Lonchura striata: one gene and its partner. Each later gene encodes a partner of the first gene's protein in a complex. Links are inferred from orthologs where the notes say so. Each region holds a gene or a part of one and is shown on either strand. Other genes may lie near its edges.

Region 1 (6,881 bases):
ATGGGGCAAAGCCCCACACCAAGGCAGGGAGGTGCAGCTGTGGCTGGGGCCTGCCTGCTCATGGCTCATCCAGTCTGGGCTCTGCATCCTCTGTCCCTCCTGACCCCATCCCCGCTCCTCTGCCATCCTGTGTGACCCCACCAGCCGAGGCAGTGGGTCTGAGACACAGGACAATCTGACTGGAGCTCTGGGATAGGCAGCTGCCTTCTTTCTGCCTGCTCACCTCATCCAGCAGCACCAGCTGGAGGAGGAGGTTACATGGTCCAGAACGTGGCACGGTGCTGGTGAGTCCCCTCTGCCTGCCCGGGGCACTGCTTGGGCACTTCTGTGGGAGTTGTCCCTGCATTTCCCATGTCCTGAGCTCCTCTCTTCCCGTGTTTTCAGGACTTATGAAACGTCCTTGCTCGTGGATGAACCAATTAGTGATGAGCTCCCATACAGTGGTAAGTTGGAGTTGCCTTTTTTCCTCATGAACTCAGCTGAAATTTTTGGCATGTTTTATTCTGCATTGACCAGGGCCAACATATCAGCACTTCTTGACCTTGGAGATGGCCTTAGCCATGCCTGGAAGTGTCCAAGGCCAGGTTGGATGGGGTTTGGTCTAGTGGAAGGTGTCCCTGCCCATGACAATGGGTTGGAATGAGATGAGATTTAAGGTCCTTTCCAATCCAAACCATCCCTTGCCCTTCCTTCCCAGGTCCCCCCCTTGGGGCTTCCCTGAATCCTGGAAGTCCTTGGAGGCTTTACTCCCTCTCTAGGCATTGCCTGGAAACACTGAAATTTTAAGCTTTGGAGGCTTGGGAGGAAGGGGACAGAGTGGCTGAGGAGAAGCTGGTGGGACAGTGCTGTCACCTGTCACCCTGTCCCTCAGCTGGCCCCAGCCCCAGTGAAATTCCACATTACCTCTTGTCTGCTCTTTTCCCGCACCTCTTCCGCAGCCGTTGGAGCAAATGTCACCCCACAAACAATGTGACCACGTCCTTTTGGGGGATCAGCTACTCTGGCCCCGCTGCTTGTCCATGTGGCAGCTAAACGGGCTGGAGTGCCCAGATCCAGGCTCATCTTGGGATCTTCACTTCAGTGCTCAGCCCAAAAATTGTCCTGACGTCTGCAAAGCTGCTCCATGCCATCGTGTCAAACATGTCCCTGAATCCTCAGCCTTGCTCCAGCTTTCCAAACATGCCCAGCAGCTAATGGCCGTTAAACCACAGCCTGCTTCTGCTCTCTGAGCACAAAGAGCATCTAAAAATATCCCTCTCCAACGCTTCCCTTGCTCTGCTCCAACACCCGTGAAGATGCCCGGAACAGCACCCGGCTTCCAGAAGGAGAGCTCAGGCAGCAGAGTGATCCCAGCTGGAAGCAGGGCCGTGTCTCTGCTGTCCTCGAGCAGGGATGTGTCTCTGCTCTCCTCAAGCAGGGATGTGTCTCTGCTGTCCTCGAGCAGGGATGTGTCTCTGCTCTCCTCGGGCAGGGATGTGTCTCTGCTCTCCTCGAGCAGGGATGTGTCTCTGCTCTCTCACCCCGTCCCCAGGCGGGCACTGGGACGTGCTCCCCGGTGGCTCCGTGTCCCCAGCCAGGCGTTATCTGGTGGCAGCAGCTGGTGGAGCAGGGACAGGACAGTCGTCATGGGGAGCACCGTCAGAGCTTTGGGAGCTCCCAGCTCAGCCGTGCTGCTCAGCACGTTGAAATCCGGGTGATTTCCTGCAGCAATGTATCTGAACTGAGGCCTCAGCGTGCACCGGCCACCCAGCTTGTAACTGTTCTCACCAGAGTTTTCTCAGAACCCGCCAGAATCCATCAAGCTTACTAAGACAGAAACTGTGCTAAATAAGAAAGAAGAAGCTGAGAAACAGAATTCCAAATAACAGCAGCAAAGCACCTGGACTGTGATCAGTCCCAGATTCTGAGAGGTGCAGGCAGAACACGTGGACAAGACAAAAGAACCGATAAGAAATGTGTGACCAGTGTGTGCAGTGGAGTTAGAATATATAAATAAGTGCATAATAGAAACAACAAACAGCTTCTGCTTAATCACACTGGTCAGTTGTCCAGGAGTGCTGAATTTCCCACGCTGGGTGCTGGGCTCGGTGCCAGGTGCTCTCTCTGAGTGTCCCCAGGTACAGCTGTGCCCTGCGGGGTCACAGCGAGAGGTCCTGGGTCTCCTCTGGAAGTGTCCTGCCCCTGGCAGGGGATTGGAATGAAATGATCCTTAAGGTCCCTTCCAATCCTATCCCCTAAACCATCCTGTGATCCTTGCCCCATGCTGGAGCTGGGATCCTGAAAGGAAACCAGCCAAGGAGCGATGTGGAGGGAGCAGTGTCCCCGCAGGGGGGGCAGAGGCAGCCAGAGCTATCCTTCAGTGACCCCACCACTCCATCCCACCCTGACTCCTGCAGCCAGCACAGCCCCAGAACCCCCGGCCATCCCGCCATGCCCCATCCCATACAGGCGGGCAGCTCCTCTTGCTGCTTCCAAGGGGTTGCCATCCCCTGGAAATCCCAGCCTGGCATCCACTGAGATGCCAGGGAATGCCCTGGTGCCCATCCTCAGGCAGCTCTGGGGGTCCTGCCCGTCTCTGAGACCCGCTGGGTTGAGGAGCCTGTCTCCAGCACAGCTTCCCTCATCCCAAACTGCAGGAAGCCTCAGGCAGGAGGCTGGCAGGACCAAGCATGGATTTTGCCTTGGATTTCCAAGCCTTTGAACAAGGCTTCATGCTCTGTCTGTCCTTCCTCCTCTCCAGCCCCCATGGAGCAGGTTTGTGCTGCCGTTCCCAGCCAGCCCTGCTCACGCCATGCTCCTGTTTCCATCCTTTGTCAGCTCCAGCTTTCCCCATTCTGCTTCCTCCTGACATCCAGCAATTTCCCACCCAGCTTTTGTCCTTCTCCTGCCTGGCGCTGCCTCCAAAGGGTTCTTGCCAAAGGTCTGGAGAGCCTGCACCCCCCAGGGTGGCACCTGGTGACAGCTGGCAGGAGCAGGTCCCCATCCTTCAGGGACTGGAATGGAACGAGTCCCATCAGGGCGTGAGTGTCCCATGGAAACCCCCCTGCCCATCCCCTGTGCCCCGGGAGTGGGGACTGGGGTGAAAGGGGGGCCTGGGAATGACTGGGAGTGACTGGGAGTGACTGGGGGCCAGCTGTGGGCCTGGAGAAAAGAATCCTGTGGGCAACTGGGATCTGCCAGGGGTAACTGGGAGCAGCTAGCAGTAACTGGGATCTGCCTGGGGGGTAACTGGGAGCACTGGCAGTAACTGGGATCTGCCGGGGGGTAACTGGGAGCACTGGCAGTAACTGGGATCTGCCAGGGGTAACTGGGAGCAGCTAGCAGTAACTGGGATCTGCCGGGGAGGTAACTGGGAGCAGCTAGCAGTAACTGGGATCTGCCGGGAGGGTAATTGGGAGCACTGGCAGTAACTGGGATGTGCTGGGGGGGTAACTGGGAGCAGCTAGCAGTAACTGGGATCTGCCGGGGGGGGGTAACTGGGAGCACTGGCAGTAACCGTGATCTGCTGGGGGGGGTAACTGGGAGCACTTGCCAGTAACTGAGGGTAACTGGCAGTAGGAGAGGGGCATGAGGGATAACGGTGGGAGCTGAGGATGAGCAGGGAGATGACACGGGGTTACCGGAGAGAGCCCAGCCGGTAACTGGGACAAGCGGGGGCAGGCGCGGGGCAGGCAGGCGAGCCTGCGATGTGTCCTGCGGGCAGCTGGGCCGATGGGGGCGGTGTGCGGGCGGCAGGGAGCAGCGGGGCCAGCCCGGGGCGCTGGCGGTGACCAGGACCGGTCGGGCGGAGCGGCGGCGGCACCGGGGCCGCGGCGGCCACGCCCCGGTGAGGCCATGCCCCTTGTGGGCGTGTCCCTGTAGTGGCCCCGCCCCATCCCCGGGCGGCTGTCGCGGGGAGATGACGTAAGCAGGAGCGCGGCGCGCGGCGCGGCCTGTCCGCCATGGCGAAGACCGTGGCCTATTTCTACGACCCGGACGTGGGGAACTTCCACTACGGTGCGAGTGGGGCCGGGGCAGCGCCGGGGCGGAGCGGCGGAGCGGCCGCCGCGCGGCTGGGGCTGGGCGGAGCCGGCTGGAGGCGGGGGTGTGGCGCGGCCCGGTCGCCGCTGTCCCTCAGCGCCACTGTCTCCCAGCCCCTCAGCCCCGCTGTCCCCCAGCCCCGCTGTCCCCCAGCCCCGCTGTCCCCCAGCCCCGCTGTGCCCCAGCCCCGCTGTGCCCCAGCCCCGCTCCCCTCTCCCCCCAACCGGACCTGTGCGCAGCGCGGTGCCGGTGCCCGGCGGCGGCGGGGCCGTTGTGGCGCCGCTGATCCCGCGCGGTTCCGTTGCAGGCGCGGGGCACCCCATGAAGCCGCACCGCCTGGCGCTCACGCACAGCCTGGTGCTGCACTACGGCCTCTACAAGAAAATGATCGTAAGCCACGCGTGTCCCAACCGGGCGGGGTGGGGGCGGCGGGGCACCAAGGAGGGCTCCACACCGAGCCCCCGGGGCTGCTTGGGGCCCCACGGGTGGGTGACAGGTTCAGCGATGTTGTAGAGATTTGGGGGGTATCACGGGTGGGTGATGTGATCACTGATGTTGTAGAGATTTGGATCCTCACGGGTGGATGATGTGTTCACTGATGTTGCAGAAGTTTGGATCCCCACGGGTGGGTGATGTAGAGATTTTGGGCCCCACGGGTGGGTGACGTGTTCACTGATGTTGCAGAGGTTTGGATCCCCACGGGTGGGTGATGTGTGATTTATTTAAAAAATATGGATATTGATCTAGCACAGATATCCAACTGTGACGGATAAAATCTCTCTAACAGTTTAAAGTTAGAAAATGTGTGTTTATTCAATGCCGGGCAGCATGAGGGATTGCTCCCAAATCCACACCTCCCCTTCCAAGTGATTACAGAGCCCTGTTATCCATACAAGTATTGAATACCCAAAATACAAATACATGTTCATCATGTCAGTACATCCCATTCCTCACTTCCTATGCTAATAATTTCAAAAGCCATTCAGCATGCCTACTTTGTCCCTTGAAATGGGTCGGTGTCCCTTTCATGGGGAGGGGTCCCAAAATGAGGAAGTCAATGAAGTCTTCCTCATTGTGACCTTTCTACCTTTTCAATGCAAATATGACAAATGAACTGTTGGTAGAACTCCCATTCCTTGTCTTCAGTTAGTTTTGGAACAGAGGAGGCCCACAATTGTCTTATGTTCCTAAAAGCTCTTTGTCAGTTTGTGTATTCTTCATTATAAACCCAGCTAACTAAACATTGTGCTGACAAACAATCAATTATTAGTTAACTACTAACTCCTAACTTCATCAAGGCCTACTCATTTATTTTATTTATTTTAATTAACTCTAGTAAGGCTTATCTCTAACTCAAATCTTAGCTCCTCTAAAATCTCTAAATTCGTTAAAATTTACGTTTCATGTGTTCAGTGATGTTGCAGAGCTTTGGGCCCCACGGGTGGGTGACAGCTTCACGATGGTTTTACACCTCAGTCCTGTGCTGTTGGTGCAGCTGTAGAGGATTCCAAGGAGCTGCTGAGGTCAGGCATCTGTAGAGATGCAATCTATGAAAACAATTTTAGGTGTTTAGACATGACAAAAATTTCCTTAATTAATACAATTCCCAAATAAAACCACATCCAGGGCAGTGACTGTGTGGAAATGCAGCACTTGGAAAGACTGTGGGGAGTCTTCGCAAAGTTTCTTTTCTAGATCTGTACTGTCACTGTGTGGATTTCCACAAGTAACTTCCCCAGAGTTTTTTTAATTATTATTATTTCCACAAGAAACTTCCCCAGGCTTTTCCTTGCAGGAACAACCAAAAAACATGTTCTGACCTAACACTTTTAAATGGCAAATCCCTTCCTGAAGGAGGCAGTGGGCAGAGCTCTTTTACATTTTCAGTCTTGAAATTCTTTTTCTGAGGGGTTTTGTTTTCCACAAGCTGCACTGGGAAGCTGAAAACTTCATCCCCAAACAGTCAGGGACTGGCAAAGTCAGGAGCAAATAAAAGCAGGGGTTTGGAGCATTGGGACTGGGAAATTCCTGCTGATTTTGTGCTGTGGTTGCATTGTTTCTGCCTCCTTACAACCAAAGCTTGTGATCCTGTTGGGCTGGGTTTGCCTCTTCCCACCTTCCCCAGCTCGGGAACGTGGCTGGGATTGCTGGGAAGGCTGCAAGGAGCCAGCTTTGTTCTGCCAGCAGCTGGGTGAACATTCCAGCCTGGTTTTCCCCTCCCTTTCTGTTTGATCCCCACATCCCTACTCTGAGAGCCTCTGGCTGCGCAGTGAGAGCCATTTCTCCTCTCCTTGCCATCAGTTTTGGTCTGGTTTGGTTTAATGAACTTCAGGATTCCTGGGGGATCCCTGGGAATAAGGAGTTGCCTCATCCTCTGTTTGAGTTGTCAGAGGCAGCAGACCTCTGAGGAACACCAAATTCCACATGGAAAGCACCAGGAGAGGAGGAGATGGGATTGTTCTGGTTTATTGTGGCTCTGAAAAGGACCAGGTTTTCTGCTCAGCACAGAAAGCAGGAGCATGGTGCAGTTGTCCTGAGGAATTTCCCTTTGGAGACCAGCTCGTGCATCTTCTGTTGTGTTCATGTTCCACTTTTTCTGTCAAGTGCTTGCTTAAAATAAGAGAAATTAAAATAATAAGAGTAATCACAGAAAATCTCTTTTATCAATTGAATTGATAAGAGATGGTGGTGTTAATTTTTAACTTCCCCTCTACTGAGAGATGTGCCCTAAGTGCCAAAACTGTGTTGTCACAAGATCCTGGATTTGAGTCCATCCACCTCCCTGACCATTCCCCCCATTTTTCTTTCCAAAGGAAACAAAACTTATGCAGCTCTTCCATCTGTCTGGGAGGTTTCCCCAA
Region 2 (7,687 bases), on another chromosome or scaffold:
TTTACTTTATTTGATCAAAGTATCATTAGAGCTGGTTACTCACTTCAAAGGCCTGTCATCCTGAGATGCATGAGTTTTGGGAGCCTCTGGTCCAATCAAACTATCAGCTTCAGTATTTTCTGCAACAATCAAATAATGAGGAAGATTAATCTTGTATCCATTATTCTTTGTTATCAGAAAGGTTATACAGGTCAGCAACACCTAACAACAAATTCACAAAAAGGACATCAAGAAGTTTCCATCCAAGTTTAAAGTCAGGTGAACTTACTTGATCTCTCTATCCAGAGATCATCCCCTTGAAGCATTTCATCATCGGAATCTTCGCTACTTGAATCACTGGATTCCCTCCTGCTCTTCTTAGATTTCTTTTTCTTATACTTCTTCCTGTGGTAAAGCCAGACAGACATGCTATTTATCAAAATTTAAGATTAAAGAAGGTGCTTGGAATCATACTCAAATAATTAGTTTCTCAAGGCAACTTCCACCTATAGGAAGAATGCTGTCCGCTGTTTCATACAAAACACTTTACACCAAAGCCAAGACAATATATATGTTCTATTTTAACTTTCATAGAGTGTTAGAAAGTGGCTATACAGAAAGTTGTTTATGCTGCACAATTGTGTAGATTTAAATAAAAACTATCAAAATAATATTATTTGCCAGCTCTTGCAAATGACCTAAGGTCCTCAGGCTCCCTGAGGGCCTGCAAAGAAAACTGAGCTGCCCTCCAGGCAACAGCAGCCAAAATGATACAGCAACCACAACACTTACTTTTTGTTCTTCTTTTTCTTCTTCTTGCTTTTCTTTTTATCTTCATCTGAAAAAAGAAAGTGTATGTATTATCAAAAATAAATTATTAATTATAACTAAGTAGTTTACTGCCCTGTGAATAACACGGCATACCTTTTACATCCCCAGTATTCACAGAGCTGTAGGCTCTTTGACTCTCTCAACTCTAGCCCTAAGCCTAACCCCATCACCAGGGGTGGTGGTCAAGATCAGAAAGATGTAGGAGCAGCACAGTTGGGGCTTTGCTGGGATCACCTTGGAATGCCTTTTCCAGTCCCAATGTTCCTGTGACTCGCTCAACCCTAACCCTAAGCCCTAGCCCTAACCCAAACTCAATAATATGGGTTTTCCAGGTCAGAATGATGTAGGAAAAGCAATGTTGGGGCCTTGCTGGGATTGCCTTGGCATGCTTTTTCCAGTCTCAGTACTCCTGGAGCTATAGGCTCTTTCACTCTCTCAGCCCTAAGCTTAACCACTCCCCTAACCCTACTGCTAAGAATTATACTAACCACTACCCCTACCAATTAACCAAACCACTACCCTAAACCTGAGCCTATTCCCAGCACTAACTGCCTCCTCCAGCATGCCCTAGTACACATCCTGATGGGACTTGTTTATACTGGGAAAGTGTTAGGAGAAAGGTCCCTGCAGTACTGGTCGATATGAGAACATATCAAAGAGATCTCTGGCATGAGAGGCCCAGTGGATGCTAAATTCAGAAATCCAATTTCCTGAGGCTACACTGCAAGCTGAGACCCTCTTGTCTTACCACTGGAGTTCTGTTCAGACTCTGAGTCACTGTCGCTGTCCTCAGAATGTTTCCTGCGCTTTCTTTTGGATGCTTTACGTTTTTTCTTTTGTTTTTGCTTCTTCTTTTTCTTCTTTTCCTCTGGAATGTTTTTAAACATAACATTAGAGAACAAAGAACACTTGGTTCCATATGTATTCCCTGATCTTCCCAAAGCAATGCTCTCCTTTGGGCTGGAGCCCACCCCAACCACTCCCACCCATCTAAGCCAGGGAACCTCCTGCAAGCAGCAGCAGATTCTAAGCCACAGTAGCTTCCCATTTTTGAAAAAGCTGTGCAAGCCAGACAAAATACCTTCTGAGCTGGAATCCGAAGAACTACTCTTAGATTTTGCCTCTTCATCTTCTACTGGCGTGTGCTCATCGGAACTGAATAAAATAACAGTTTGCTACTTAAAATCTGTTTTGTTGTACTCAAGATCAAAGGTATACAAATGATCAAAGACATTTTGAATCAATCCCTGCAAAGGAGTAAAATATCAAAGATATTATAAAAATAATTTAGCCTGGGAACTGCTGTCAGAACCACAACACAACAATCACCTGATCTACAATAAATAATGTATTGCATAATTGGTATGTTGGAATTATTTGGTTGAAAAAATAGCAATCTCATTATGCTGCTTCAGAAAGGAAGTGACACAGTAAGTACTGTGGCACCAAGACTAATGCAGGGATAAAGAATTTTTATAAACTGAACTGATATGTAATTAATATTATAAAAAACATGAAGAAAGACTATGCCTTACTCTGGGTCAGGAACTTTTGGTGACAGCCCCCAGACTTCAGGCGCCCCCAGTTCTCCAATTCTCTCTCTCTCATTGAGTCTCCTGTAAAGGAAAACACTGACACTGACGCCTAGTTTGCAACACCCAGCACACAAACATTTTAAGTCTTACGCGTTAGTGTTTCCGAAGCAGCTACAGGAAGGGTAAGAAACAACTCGGAGCAAGGAGCAGGGGCAGGGGCAGTCAGGCAGCAGAGCTCCGCACACCGCAGAGGCTCGGCGGTAGCAGCTGTCACCCCGTTCCAGCCGAGCTCCGTCCCGGCTGCCCCGGGGAACGCACGGGGAGCCCGTGAGGGACCGTACAGAACCGGGCCCGGCCGCGGCACCCGCCCCTCCCGCGCGGAGCGGGGCCCGGCGGGGCAGCCCCGGCCCCTCGCCGGCGCTCACCTCTGCCGCAGGATCTCCTCCTTCTCCTTCTCGTAGTACTCGGGCCATTTGCCGTGGTGGTGGTGCCCGTGGTGCGCGGAAGAGCGCGGCGCGCCGGGGCTGCGGGACCGGCTGCGGCTCCGCCGGTGGCTCGGGCGCCTGGGGCCATTGCGCTCGCGGGAGCGGGAGCGCGAGCGGCGGCCGCGGCGCTCGGAGCCGGCGGCGGGCGGGGAGCGGGAGCGGGACGCGGGCGCCATGGCGGAAGCGGAGGCGCTTCCGGCGCTTCCGGTGCCCTCCCGGCCGGGCGGGAGCGGGGCGGGAGCGGGGCGGGAGCGGGGCGGCCCCGCCCGCGGGGTCACCGCCCCACCCGCCCGGCCGGCAACGCGGCGGCGGCGGCGGCGGCGGCGGCTCCTTTTGTGCCCCGCGGCGGCCGCCCGGCAGCGATGGACGCGCGCACGGCGGCCGAAGGTGAGGCGCGGACGGGGCGCGGGGCGCGGGCGGGGGGCGGTGGCGGCCCGGGCCCGGCTCCGCCCCGCTCCGCGGGCACCGGCGCGGGGCCGCGGCCCCGGGAGCTGTCCAGGGCGGCCCGGGAGCAGCACTGCCCCGCGGACAGCTCAGCGTGCCCCGGCGGGGCTCCCGTTCGTGGCCGGGCCCGGCGCCGCCTGGCACGGCCCGGCCCGGGCGAGGCCCGGCCCCGTGTTCGGGGCCGGCACCTCCCCGCGGCCTGACACGGCGCTGCCGGTGCGGCCGCTCAGGGCAGAACTGACAGCACGGGGGAAACGGCCCCAGCTTGCGTCGGGGCAGCTTTAGGGTGCGTATTAGGATTTTTATTTTCATGGGAAAGGTTATCAAGCACAGGAATAAGCTGCACAGCGAAGTGGTGCAGTCACTGTCCCCGGAAATATTAAAAAACCATGTGGAGATGGCACTTACGGACATGGTGTAATGGTGAACGTGGTGCTGGCGCTGGGTTCAGGTTGGACTTGATGATCTTAAGTCTTTCCCAGCCTTAACCTTTATCCATAAAGATGATACAAATTATATATTCAGATAAGACATCCACTCTTCTGTGAGCGCCCTTCCCCCTCAGGTTTGACCACGTTACCACGGAGCTTTCTTAAATAAACCCCGAGTTTCTGCTCAGCTCTGGAAATGCAGTGCGATATCGCTGGGTCTGGCCAGCTCCGTGTAAACGGGGCATTTTGGACAGCTGCTACACCCTGGGAAGCCCATGCTGGTTTATGCTGTCTAGAAATTATGTCAGGGTATGCCAGTCTCTTTTTCACAAATGGAGCAGTATTTTAGCTCCTAAACCTACCATAAACAGCATTTAAAAAACCCTGTAAGATGGAGGAAGCCTATTTAAACTGTGTATTTATTTGGGTACACGGAACCATGTGCAGTAGAGGGAGGGAAAAGATTTACCAGAAATTCCCACTACTGTCACCTGTGTCTGTGTGAGGACAGCGTATATTCTCCCTTCTTTTGATTATTTCGGCAAACTAATTTTGGATTATTTTAGATCTGATTAAATGATGCCTAAAACATCTGCCTCAGGAGCAATCTGCACTTGTGTTACCTAATACCATTAGGTGACTTGAAGTGCTTTTGTAAACAAGTCATAATGTCATGCGGTACATAACAGCATCTACAACAACTACTAATGTCAATAAAAAGATTACTGGACTCTTAATTCAGATATATGAAGCTTTATATAATGGGATTGGCAGGAGAAATAGTCTCAGAGATTCCTTCAAGGCATAAACAGTGAAAATTTGTATTTTAGAGTCTTTCAGAAGCAGTGATTTTTTATTTGAATTCCCACAGTGAAGAATATTTCTGTCCTTAAAGGTACTCTTAGGTAGGATAACTATTGAATTTCAATTTTTATTGAAAACCCTTAACTGTTCTGCTTATAAAATTTAATTTACTTTAATGTAAAATACTTGTTTTCATGAAGGAGAATGTTACTTTGTCTTTCAAATTTGTCAGTTCTTTAAAAGAATTTTCTATTCTCGCAAAGTGGATTTTTTAAAAACAAAAAAGCTTCTCAAGTTGCTTAATTGAAAACTCGTTACTGAATTACATACTGTTTTGTCGTCTTGTAAAGGCCTGCACATAAATTTCTTTAAATTTGTACTTCATATTTTCAGAGCCTCCACCCCAAAGTTTTTTTGATCACTTCTATACATTAAGATAAAAGTTGCTATTGGGTCTCTTACATTTTCAGTTCCAAGACAACCACATGTAGTTCTATATCCTGGATGTTTCTTATCTTAGATAAAATGGTTCTTTTATATTGTTATTGATATTGTAAGGCTTTATGTGACTTGAACCATCAAACACTTTCGACGCTTATCTGAACATAAAAGTGGAAAGAACAACCCCTAAAATAGGAGATGCATGCTGACAAAAAAAAATGCACACCGAAATTCAGCTTTTAGGTGCAGCAAGATGGTGGCAGCTTCAGTCAAATTGGCTGAGCTGGGGAGAGCATTAACTCTGTCCTGACTGCAGCAGTGTGACCGTGGGGTTCAGATTTTTTATCTGACAGAAGGACTTGCCATAGAGAAAAGCTGCTGTGAGAAAGGTAAAAGTCAAGGAGATGGTGCAGCTCTCCCAGCAGCTTTTAAATCAGGCAGCATTTCAGTGCCTAAGAATAAGTGGTTTAAACCTGATTTTTGAGATCTGGTGATGCCTTAGGAGCAGGAATCCTTCCAAGTGCTCATCTGTGGCTGTAAATTTTCCTGCTAGCTATTTAGTATTGGATGAGGTATTGAGAATAGAAATCCTTAAAGCTGGAGGATGCAAGGCTAAAAAATTGTTTAATTTGGGCCATCACACATTTTTGGAGGAGAAAAAAAGCACTGGATTAAGTATTTAAACAATTATAGTATTATTTTCATTTAATATAGCCTCATGGGTAAAAATTACGAAGAACCTCTATCAAAGGAGAAAAGAATTGAAGGATCATGTGAGGAAGAAAAGCCTATGTTTTTCCTGATGAGTGTTTTCTAATATTTATCCTCATGCAATTGACTCTCTAGTAAAACCTATAAATAAACAGAAACTGGTTTTGTAACATTTAAAATCTGAAGCCTCAATTCAGAAAGGCATTTGTGTTACTAGCTATACAGATACAAGGAGCCTGGCAGGTGATTTTCTTGCTAGAAGAAAGATTATTCTTGCTAGAAGAAATTGTTATTTGTTTCTTGTTCATAAACCTGGCAGGACCATTTCATTGCTGATTTACAAGGTGAAGGATTGCAGTCATGTCTGCCAGTGACTGTGGCCTGTTACGTTTGTCATCGAACTTGACAGGACATTCGTTCTTGTCAAAGTTTTTAAATCTTAAGGAAAATCAGGAGCCCCTGTGGTTCAAGTCCACAGAATGCATAGAGGGGAAAAAAAAGGAACAGACGAGTAACCACAGATAAAAAGTATCTTTTATGATCTCGGTGTTCTTCGAGCATTCCTGAACAGCAACAGCTTCCCAGAGGCCGTGCTGTGGATGTGTCACTCCAGTGGCCACACGGCTAATGTGCCGAGAGTCGCATTTGGTCAAAGGCACTCTGTGCCAAAGCCGTACATGTCCGTGCGGCTGCTGGCAGAGTCTAACACGTGTGCCTGTGGCGCAAAGAATTCCAAAGAAATGCTCCCGCAGCAGCAGCAAGGGTGCTCAGGTGTGGGTTTGAGCTCCGCTCGGTGCTGGGCGGAGGTGCCGGCTGCGTCAGCGTTGGCAGAGCAGCGCCAATGGCCCCGGGAAGGAAACGAGACCCAGCGGCAAACAGCGTCCGCACGGCCTCATCCCGCGCTCGGCCGTGAGGCAGCGCCGGGGCTCGCTGCCGCCTCCGCCCGGGAACGGAGCGCGGGGAGCCGGCCGGGAGCTGCCAGGGCCGCAGCAGGGCCGGCCTGCGCCGAGGCAGGGTCAGGGCCTCGCTCCTCGGGGCGCGACGCGGGCGGTGTGTCCGAGCCGCGGCCCCGGGGCCGCCGGCGGCGCGGGGCGGGGCGGGGCGGCGCGGCGGGAGCGGCCCGGCCCCGCCCCGGCGAAGGTTCCCGAGGCCGCTCGGGTCAGAGCCGAGGGCAGCGCCGGCAGCGCCCCCCGGCGGCGGCGCGGCGCGGCGGGCGCGGGGCCGGAGCGCGGCGCAGGTAACGCGGGGAGCGCGGGCTCGGCGGCTCGGCTGCCCTCCCGCCCGGCCGGGGGCTCGGCACGGCTCCGCCGGCGGCGGCGGCGGCGGGGCCGCCCGCCAGCCCGGGCCCGGTGCTGCCAGGCCGCTCCCGGGCCCGCCGCTGTCAGCGCGCCGCTCCCGCTCGGCCTCCGGCCGCGGACCGGCCGCTGCTGCCTCGGCGGCCCCGCCCGCAGCGCGGTTCTCACGGCCGGGCCCGGGGTCGGGGGGAGCCGGCCAGGACGCGCCCCCGGGCTGGGACTCATCCGGCCGCGACTCCGGCCGCGGCGTCTCATCCGGCCCGGCCCGGCCCGGCCCGGCCTGGCCTGCGGAAATAAGTTTTACGGGTAAAATTAGAGCCCGTGACTCGCTGTACTGCATTTGGATGTTGCTTTTTTCCGGTTATTGGGGGGCTTTGAATGGGCAGTGCTGACGGATAGGTTACTTTGACTTAGCAGGTCTGCTTCGCTACGGTGCTGCTTCCGAGTCTCGGTTTGAAATACAAAGCCTTGCAAATATGTGACATGGGGTTAAAAAAAGTTTATTTTTCTGGGGAAGTAAGTGCACTATCCATAGCGTTTTCATTAACTCAGTTGATTGGTAATACGTCGACACACAGATTCTGGTGTCTGGCCATAAATAACTTCATGATATTTGGCTTTCTCATAACAACCTATGGAATATTTCACAATTAAAAATAAATTACTAATAATGTTTAAAGCTGTTTTTGGGACCCAAAACTTACATTTTCTTGGTTTTATAATTAAACTTA

What was found. Proteins that work in one complex are often made in the same cells at the same time.
Region 2: HDAC3 (region 1) and NKAP share a complex: the UniProt entries of both Homo sapiens proteins name them as parts of the notch corepressor complex. The link is inferred for Lonchura striata from reciprocal best matches to the Homo sapiens genes HDAC3 and NKAP.

What each region holds. Positions count from the first base shown.
Region 1 is NC_134617.1:15,751,958-15,758,838, reverse strand, and holds the start of HDAC3 (histone deacetylase 3), read left to right. Parts: upstream 1-3,875; 5' UTR 3,876-3,941; coding exon 3,942-3,996; intron 3,997-4,249; exon of another isoform or gene 4,250-4,284; intron 4,285-4,327; coding exon 4,328-4,410; intron 4,411-6,881. UniProt on the Homo sapiens protein: Histone deacetylase that catalyzes the deacetylation of lysine residues on the N-terminal part of the core histones (H2A, H2B, H3 and H4), and some other non-histone substrates.
Region 2 is NC_134616.1:9,031,643-9,039,329, forward strand, and holds the start of NKAP (NF-kappa-B-activating protein), read right to left. Parts: upstream 3,007-7,687; coding exon 2,771-3,006; intron 2,427-2,770; coding exon 2,346-2,426; intron 1,966-2,345; coding exon 1,892-1,965; intron 1,679-1,891; coding exon 1,559-1,678; intron 818-1,558; coding exon 772-817; intron 385-771; coding exon 269-384; intron 120-268; coding exon 44-119; intron 1-43. Other genes in the region: ZBTB33 (transcriptional regulator Kaiso), read left to right, coding at 3,193-3,217. UniProt on the Homo sapiens protein: Acts as a transcriptional repressor. Plays a role as a transcriptional corepressor of the Notch-mediated signaling required for T-cell development. Also involved in the TNF and IL-1 induced NF-kappa-B activation.